2 linked regions of the Xenopus tropicalis genome follow. The protein of the gene in region 2 interacts with the protein of the main gene of each other region in a biochemical or structural test. Links are inferred from orthologs where the notes say so. Each region holds a gene or a part of one and is shown on either strand. Other genes may lie near its edges.

Region 1 (4,438 bases), on a different chromosome or scaffold from region 2:
ACGCACATGCGCACAAATAATTTTCCCTGGCATTTGTACGCATGCGTCTTATCTTATAATCGAATAGTCGCCATGGTAACGCATTAGCATATATGCCCATGCGTAAAAATAATTTTCACCATGGTAACGGTTTGCCTACCTAGAATTCCTGCGCATGCGTTTTTTCTTTCACTATGTTTCGGCGTAAATATGTCCACTTCTATTATTATTAAGAATACTTCCTTTCTCTATACTCATATATACCGTTTTATTGTGTGAACATTTACATTCACTCTTTTATTGTTGAAAGGTTATTACAGATACATTTTTGCCTTAGTATTATAACTACAATGTCATTTAATTGTATTTCGCATTGGTGTCCATACAAAGGGCGGGGGACACATTTGAACTACTCCCAGAGAATGAATACTTCACTGATAGTTTATATCACAGTGGCTTATTGTAGAATCTTTCCAAACTGAAATATATGTATCAGTAAATATTGCCTTTATACATGTTTTACCCTGAGCCAACTTTTTTGTGATGTCCCGTGTGCTCCCTCGGAGATCACCTGAAAGAAAATAATGCAGATCTAACTGTATTACAGAGAAAGAGGAAATCATTTTTAAAAAATTGAATTATTTGATTAAAATGGAGTCTATTGGAGATAGTCTTAACGTAATTTGGAGCTTTCTAGATAATGGGTTTCTGGAAAACAGATCCAATACCTGTACTGCAAATCTCTTTGGCAACTGCTGCAGCCTGAAACTTGCTACGTTTATTTGGTATCCCTTCTTACCTTAGTCGGGTCATATAATGCAGTATGGGTGAGTTTTATTGTCTGAATATTACTTCCCATAAAAGCCATAAAGCCTTTCATGTATATCTATAAACAAGCCATATAGTGGTCTATATAAGTTGCAGCATGGATAGTGACTGTTTGCTTCTAGTTAAAAGATTTATATCAGCTGCTGGAAATTAAATAAGTAAATTTATCACCCCTATTGTGTGTTATTTTCAAAAGAAATCTCAGTCTGAATGTGTGAAAGATAGCTATCTTTCTGTCTCTCTGTAATGTTCACCTAGCAAAATGTAATGTGATTTATTTTACTATATGTGGCTGTCAGTCCCACATGCTTCAGCTGAGGAATATTTTTTTTATAAGGGGTCTTAACTGTATTTTGAGACCCCAGATCCAATGTTTTCCATTGTAAATATTTTGCTGTTTTCCTGCATCTATAAAGAATTAAATATGTATTATTTTTTTACTGCAGTCTGACAATACCAATGAAAAGTGCTTTTCTTACATCTTTATACATTTTGCAACTGTATTCCATACCTATATGTCTGTATAAGACAGTATGCACAATCAGGTATGCACACAAAAAAAGTAAAATTAGAAGCATTTTCAGTAGGGTTTATGTTCAGAAGAACAAAGTTATAGCATGAATTACAAAAGCTGGAAAGCCCTAAAGCTGTCTGGTTACAGAATCTGTCAGGCTCCACAATTTGGCATGATAGCAGCGACAGCAGTAACATCAGCATCCAGCAGGACAGACCTTGCCTCTGGCTCGTTGTGCCGAACTCCTCCTCCAACCGGATTGGAGGGCGGAGGTGCAGGCAGGCGCGGTCCTTCATTTGAGAGACATCCACTTATCTTCAGCACCACGGAGAGCAGCGAGAGATGTGCCTTTGCCTGATCCCATATCTTTGAAAGCATTATGTCTGATGCACAAAGCACGACGCCAAGAGACTTTAAACCATAGGCTGTGGAGACAAGCTTAACATGTCCGTATACCAACAGCATCACAGTCACATACACAATACAGCCTAGCAGATCAGCATTCAGTGGATCCGGAAAGAACAGCATCCTGCAAGAGGAGAGTCGGGAAGAAGAAAGGAGGAGGGAGCTCTTTCTGCCTTAATAGGCACTGGATGCAGCTATCAGCATCTGTGATCAGCTCTCTAGGATTAGACACGGCAGGAAGGAGGATGCTACTGTTGCTTCTGCAGCTCTGCAAGGTCAGGATCTAGCATTCAAACAGATTTCTCAGCCAGCATCCCTGAGAGCTGCAGCTGCACCTGTACTGAGTGGATATTTGCTTCTGTTACCCGGTCGCCTTTTATGTTTGCCAAAAACCCAGGAGAATCTTCTACACCCAGTGGTGAGTGTGCTTTTTTTTTTCCTTAATTGCAATGAATCACCATTTTATTTTTAGCTAGATTTTAATTGGAATGCAATGTCTTCTTTGTGTGCAGGGATTGTGCCATTTTGTGTAGAATAAACATGTGCTATAGATCACAATGATATCCAACATCTGTGGTGTATCAAGGGAAGGGCCTATTTGGGCAAGGCCCAGTAAATAATTAATCAAACCCACCATGCTTGCAGAACTGACTAATATACCTGTATGTCAATGGAATTCCCTTCTGCCACTCATAGGAGTTTAGCCACTCTAAATGCTTGCTCACCCTCTACGTGTTACTGAAGAAGGAAGCAGATCACCCACCACCCCCACCCCCACCTTAAGCTAATGAGAGAAACATAAAAGGGAGGAGGAAAAAGCATGTCCCACTGCTATGTTACATGCATCTTAGGACATAGCACTTAAAAAATGCTGCAGAAAGTGGTTGCGTCCCAGAACTAATGTTACAAATCAGACATTTAAGACTTCAAGTTGATCCCAAGTCCTGTACCTTCTTTACTTCTAACATATCCAGTGCCCAATATTCTTTACATTCACTGTTGCATATTATTTAGTTAGTTTAGCTATTTAGCATTTTTTTGTAAGTATTCTTTTGAATACCTAACCTTAATCCTGGGTTATATCAAATCCCTATTAAACATTTCTCTATTCAGCCATGTTATGTAATATATCCGTATATGTGATCAGCTTCATTTGCATGACTCTGCTGATATGTTTTATGTATGTGATTAACAAAGGGCACTTCTATAATTCTTTCCTGTGCTAAAATTGATTTTCCTATTTTGTTGCATTTGCTATGAATTTGCAAAATAATGTATGTTTTTATCTAGTACTGTATAATTACAATAGTTAGATCAGAGGCTCATAATACGTCTATCACCTATATGTTTTAATATGTGAAATGTCATTATTTTTCCATTGTAGTTGTGATAATATTTTTGTAGATGAATTTACACTACACTGTTTTGCAAAACATTCAGATCTGTGATGCCTGTTTTGGGAAAGCTGCATCTGATAAGCCACTGAGATATTTAAACTAGAATCTTAATGAATAAAGCAAAAACTAACAAAATACATACAGTTAGGTGTCCTGCAGAAATTAAAATTGGTAAACTGGTATGGAAAAGATGTTTATTGTCTTGATATGCAGTGTGACAGTACAACTATTGTTATGGTGATTGGGGATCTTTGGTCAGAGATCACTAGCTCATAATGTGTGGCAATGTCACAACCATCACTCAAACTGAAAACACAGATACATTTTACCAATTTTAATTTTTTTTTTTAAGTGTGTGTCTTGCTATCTTACTATACTGTATTTCAGCATCTCTGTGGTTGCATTTGCTTTTGGCAATGAATGAATAATCTCTGCACTGCTGGTGAAAGTCATGTAATGTGAAATACAATATTTGAGTGATTCATAATTAATGTCTACATAGGAAGCTGATTTTTACATATCTAAAACTATTTTTTCTTTGTGTAATTATGCACCACAGTATCTATTGCATTCATAAACAGTGTCCCATTCATTTCCAATAAAGCCTTCTGTTTTGCAGACCTACCTACATTTTCTTTGGTATCAGTCATGTAAAAGACAACTACAGAGAAAAAAACCCATTAATGGTGGTATGTGATTATTCATTTGTTATGGACTACCACTAGGAGGTTTACAAAAGTTTATGTTTATGGTGTCATTCGTGTTAAATTTTGGTTTCTAGATGTCAAGATTGAGCTGTAATGTCTTATGTGACAGATATTTCCAAGGTTGCAAAAATAAGACTTGTTGCAATCACTATACACATGCATGTATTAAGAACCAGACTTGGCATTTCACTGGTGGCATTTAAAGATACACTCAGTCATTTTAAATACCTGTTTTTGAATAGCTGGTAAGGATTCATTATTGGCAAAATTCACGGAACCAGATTAAGGTTTGTTTTTTAAACATTGTGTAATGAGTAAGTCCATTGATCCAAACAAAGAATCATTTAAAAATCTTTATTATAACTAATGCACCAATTTTTTCTGTAGTTTATAACTGTATACTAGTGCAGGTAGAGCCTGTAGGGCAATCATTGATTTTGATCTTGTTTGGCAGTTTTCATGTATAAATAAATGCCAGTGTACATACATGATTGCCTAATGAGAACTTTTGTTGCTAGTAATTTTTAAAAAATGTTACTGAAAATAAAAAAGTAGAAGAAAGGACAATATTTTTTAGTTAAAATGTTTGGGCAGTAAGGCAGAATACT
Region 2 (4,137 bases):
CAGCTAATGGGAAATACACTAACAGTAGGGGGAGCCATAGCTCACACTGAATCTTATTGTCTGGAGCCACACTGGGGCAGGGGGGACTGAGCCATACACTCGCCCTGACTGCACACTGTATCCTTAGCTTTAAAGGGGCAGTTTACCTTAAAACTAACTTTTAGCATAATGTATATATCAATATTTTGGTTGCCAGGGACAGTGACCTTAACAACCTATGGCTTTTTCTGTTGCAGTCTGGAAATAGGCAGAATAGGAACACATAATTAAAAAATGCCTGTAAGATATATATATATCATGTGACACAGACAGCAGAAGGACTGCACTGTATTTCCATGAATGCAGTTTCCCAATGGTGCAGCCATGCAACCTGCATTTATTATATGAGTCAGGTGACTGGTTCTACAGAATCCAATTGTTCGGCCTACAACCCCAATGTATTGATTACAAGAACAAGGGTTGCTGCTGTTCTGGGACCTACCTCTCCAGTAGGGGGCTCCCCAGGGGTCAAACTGTGCTGCAGCCAGTCAGGCTGGTGGGGGACCCTGCTACCCACTTTACCTTAACTGGCAGTTTGGGCCCCCATATTAACAAGGGCCCCTGACTCACCAGTCCTGCCTGGATGCAAGCCAATGGGATAGGAGGGGGTGCAGTGCAAAGGTGGGGCCTGGGGCCAAGCCATTAAACTACTGCATGGAGCCAACAGAGCCACCACTGGGGGGGGGGGTACTCCAGGCAGGGGCCCCAAGATATCTGATAACAGATTTGCAAATGGGGCTCCAGGGAGTGGGCAGGGTTTGGAGGAGCCATATAGGTGGGTTTTGGCATTATGTGGCATGGCCAGGGCAGATCAGGGGGCATGGCCTTCTGTGTACAGGGCTTTAAACTTTAAATTCAATTAAAAAATTGGAGCCACATTGTCTGTGTTTGCAGGGCCCATTGCTCAGAATTTGGGCCCTGTAGGGCAAGGGCCATAAGAAAAGGGCCCCATGAATACTGATGGCAGCCCTGACTGCCATATATACATACAAGTATATGGTTGGAGTAGCCAGGGGTAGGTAAAGTCACTGGGCCCCACAGCAGAATCATTTTAGGGGCCTGAAACTGCCATTGGCCCCAGCAGTCACAGTCTGTGTATAGCTCCGCCCCTGCTTAGCTCCGCCCCTGCTTAGCTCCTCAGTGCAAAGTGGATTCCCAAATCAAAATCCACCCCATTTGCTGGAACTCCAGCCACTGCTTTAAGCAGATATCCCCGAACTATAGCTATATCTTTCTTTAAACTACAACTCCCAGCATTCTCCTAAAGCCAAGAAAGGCCGGCACTAATATCATAGTGAATATGTGCGTTCCCCTTGGTGCCCTGCTTAGGGCCGTTACATGTATTATATAATAACACTGAATTACAGTCAGAGCCTTCCCTTTCCCTCTGGGTTCCGATCCGATCAGGGAGGCGCTGCCATTGAGTCCATGTATCCCTGGGGCGCGGAGCGATACCCGGAGCCACTGAGCAGCCGCGGAACCGGCGGGAGAGAGAGATGGGCGCGTCCAACAGTGCGGAGAGGGGGGGGAGCCGGCTGTGAGCTGACTCTGCGCTGCCGATCTGATCCGTACGCTCCTCTGCCTCACAGGCTCCTCTGCCCGGGGTACGGCTCTATTCCCCGGCTACTCACACAGGTAGGCAGCCTGTATATGGGGGTGCGGGGGGGGGGGGTAACTTATATCCGATACCCCCAGGCGTACAGTTCTGATTACCTATTTAATGCCTTTAATGTTAAACTACAAATCCCAGCTGCCCTAGCGAAGAACTCTAGGATGGGAACATTCTTACATTCATGGGATCTGTGAGTTGTAGTTCAACTACCAGGTGGGACATCCCTACACTGTGTATGGTGAGAGCAGCTGTAAGTCGCTTGGGAGTCGCTGCTGCAGAACCTCTTGCAGTATTATTGGGTTCCTTCTCTCTGCCCTGGCACACAGGGGCTGGTATCCTGCCCACTGGAACAAATGAAACTGATAGTTGGCACTGGGGCCCCTGCTATGGCTTCTAGCTGTTTAGCCGCTGCCCATAATGACTGTCAAGTTGCCTTGTTGGGGGGGGGGGTGGTTCTTATTTCTTTAATTGTAGAAAAGCCATTGCATCAAACTGGGAAGAGGAGGAAGGGAATGGGTTAATGGTGTTAATGCAATCAGTGTGTCTCAGTGTGGCAGCCACATGGTTAATTGCTAATGGCTGCTTCTCCCCTAATACATTGGGACCAGTAATGTCTCTTTCCAGCAGTAAATGTTCTGGAGGTTTCCTATTCCTCATAAAGTCAGTTTATTGGTCTCTGCCCGACACTCCTGTGCCCCAATAACGGGAGCCCGTCGCTCTATAACTGACTCCTGGGCGCCGGGCACAGCACATTGATAGGGCAATGCCAGCCCATATTTACTTTTAATCATTTCTGCTCCTGAGCTGAAACCTGCCGCAGTGTTGTTTCCTCTGGCTTCCTGAGCTTCCTTATCTCCGTACCTTGTTTCATAATATAACATTGGGCTGCAGTACTGGGGCTTCTGACCAGTTTGAGAGGTAAGTTATATTGGGCTGTTTTGGGTGTGGGCACATACGGCACCTTGGGGGTGTGGCAGCGGATCTGCTCGTCCCACAGTTGATCCCAATTGAATGTAACACTGAGATTAGTTCACCCCATTGCATGGCCATTTGGCCCCTGAGGAGATTGGTCGAATAACGGACATGCCAGCCCTTGTTTAGGTGTTGGGCCAAACGTATGGTGCCCCCTACTGCCCTATACATCCCTGTGCCCCTGTCCCAATAATGCTCTATGGCAGAGGGGTGTCAGCTTTGTGCCCGGGGAGCCAATGATACTGCCCTGATACAAGATAATAATCTGTATCTAACTTCCTGCCCCAACGTGGTCCGTGGCTCTGCTGATCTGCATTATATTGCTCTATCCCTGTCCTTATCAGCCGCTGCCCGGGGGTTATTCTGGTGCAGTCAGATGTTGGCCCATAGAGCTTGCAGTGGGACAGCGGGGATTGGTGAATTGAGTGCTAAATGTTCATTTCAGCCCCAGTTGCCCTATCCCTGTGGGGGCCTAACTGAACAGAGATCTGAGTGGCCAAGTCAGTGGGTTTTTATGTGGGTGGCCAGCTTTAGCCAGTGGCTAGTTTATAGTGTAGCTATGGGCAAGGAAGGGGAGTGTGGGGGGGTAGTAATAAGTTGTTTTTGGAGCCCCTTCTAGCTGCAAGGAGAGAGGACTTACATCTGGCTGGATAAGGTGAAAGCCCACGGGGCACCCATTCATAGGGTTTGTTTTGGTTCTGATTGGCTCACATTTCCCATTAAACTCTCTAGGTGTTATTGGCCCATATCTGCCCAGGCAGATGCTTAGAATCAGGACAAAGGCAAACACAGTGTTTTTATTTCTCCATGGTAGAGCCCAAGGGTCAGTGAAGGCTGCTGGGAGTTGCAGTACAAAGAAAAGCAGAGGTTAATAACTTGTGCACCCCTACTTTATATAAATAGCGCAGTCTCGCAAAGTCTATATCACTCATAAATGCAGATGGGCATATTGTGTTGCCCATAACTGTGCCAAGCTCAGCCACTTTAGTGCTTTCTGTGCCATTTTTACTGTGTTTTGTTGCTTTGCTATGTCATAACTGGCATGACTTCTGTAATACCCATGAGCCTCTGGGGACATGCTGTGCTGCCTGCGCTCATTGTGTGGTGTTGCCTGCATCCACTGGCCACTGGGCAATACAAATCTATTTATTGGTATATTTGAAGTATATTTATTGTATGTGGGAGCTGCTATATTACTTGCCTCAACTGGGGCACAACTCCAGTTTCCCCAGGGCAGTTGCAGCAGTTGCTGTGTGTGAACACTAGGGGCGCTGTCCCTTACATAATACAACAGAGAGGCCTTACATGTATACATGGGAGACATTTCCATTGTATAAAATGGCATGATGGTTTCCAGGGGGAAAGTATGGCAGCTCCCACACTTTATATTTGCCACCTTGAGGTTGGGGATTGGGGAAGCAGTCTGTTTAAGCAGTAGGGATTTGGTTTGGGGGTGTAAGTAGGCATGGCCACTCTGGATAGTGTCTAACAGGCCAGGTGGGGGGCAATGGGCA

What was found.
Region 1: the proteins of pdzd2 (region 2) and ctnnd2 form a complex in vitro, tested with the Homo sapiens proteins (2 studies listed by BioGRID and IntAct, with this or other methods). The link is inferred for Xenopus tropicalis from reciprocal best matches to the Homo sapiens genes PDZD2 and CTNND2.

Annotation. Positions count from the first base shown.
Region 1 is NC_030682.2:70,700,661-70,705,098, reverse strand, and holds the start of ctnnd2 (transcription factor E2F7), read left to right. Parts: upstream 1-1,580; 5' UTR 1,581-2,104; coding exon 2,105-2,144; intron 2,145-4,438. UniProt on the Homo sapiens protein: Has a critical role in neuronal development, particularly in the formation and/or maintenance of dendritic spines and synapses. Involved in the regulation of Wnt signaling.
Region 2 is NC_030677.2:200,771,256-200,775,392, forward strand, and holds the start of pdzd2 (PDZ domain-containing protein 2), read left to right. Parts: upstream 1-1,324; 5' UTR 1,325-1,674; intron 1,675-2,218; exon of another isoform or gene 2,219-2,569; intron 2,570-4,137.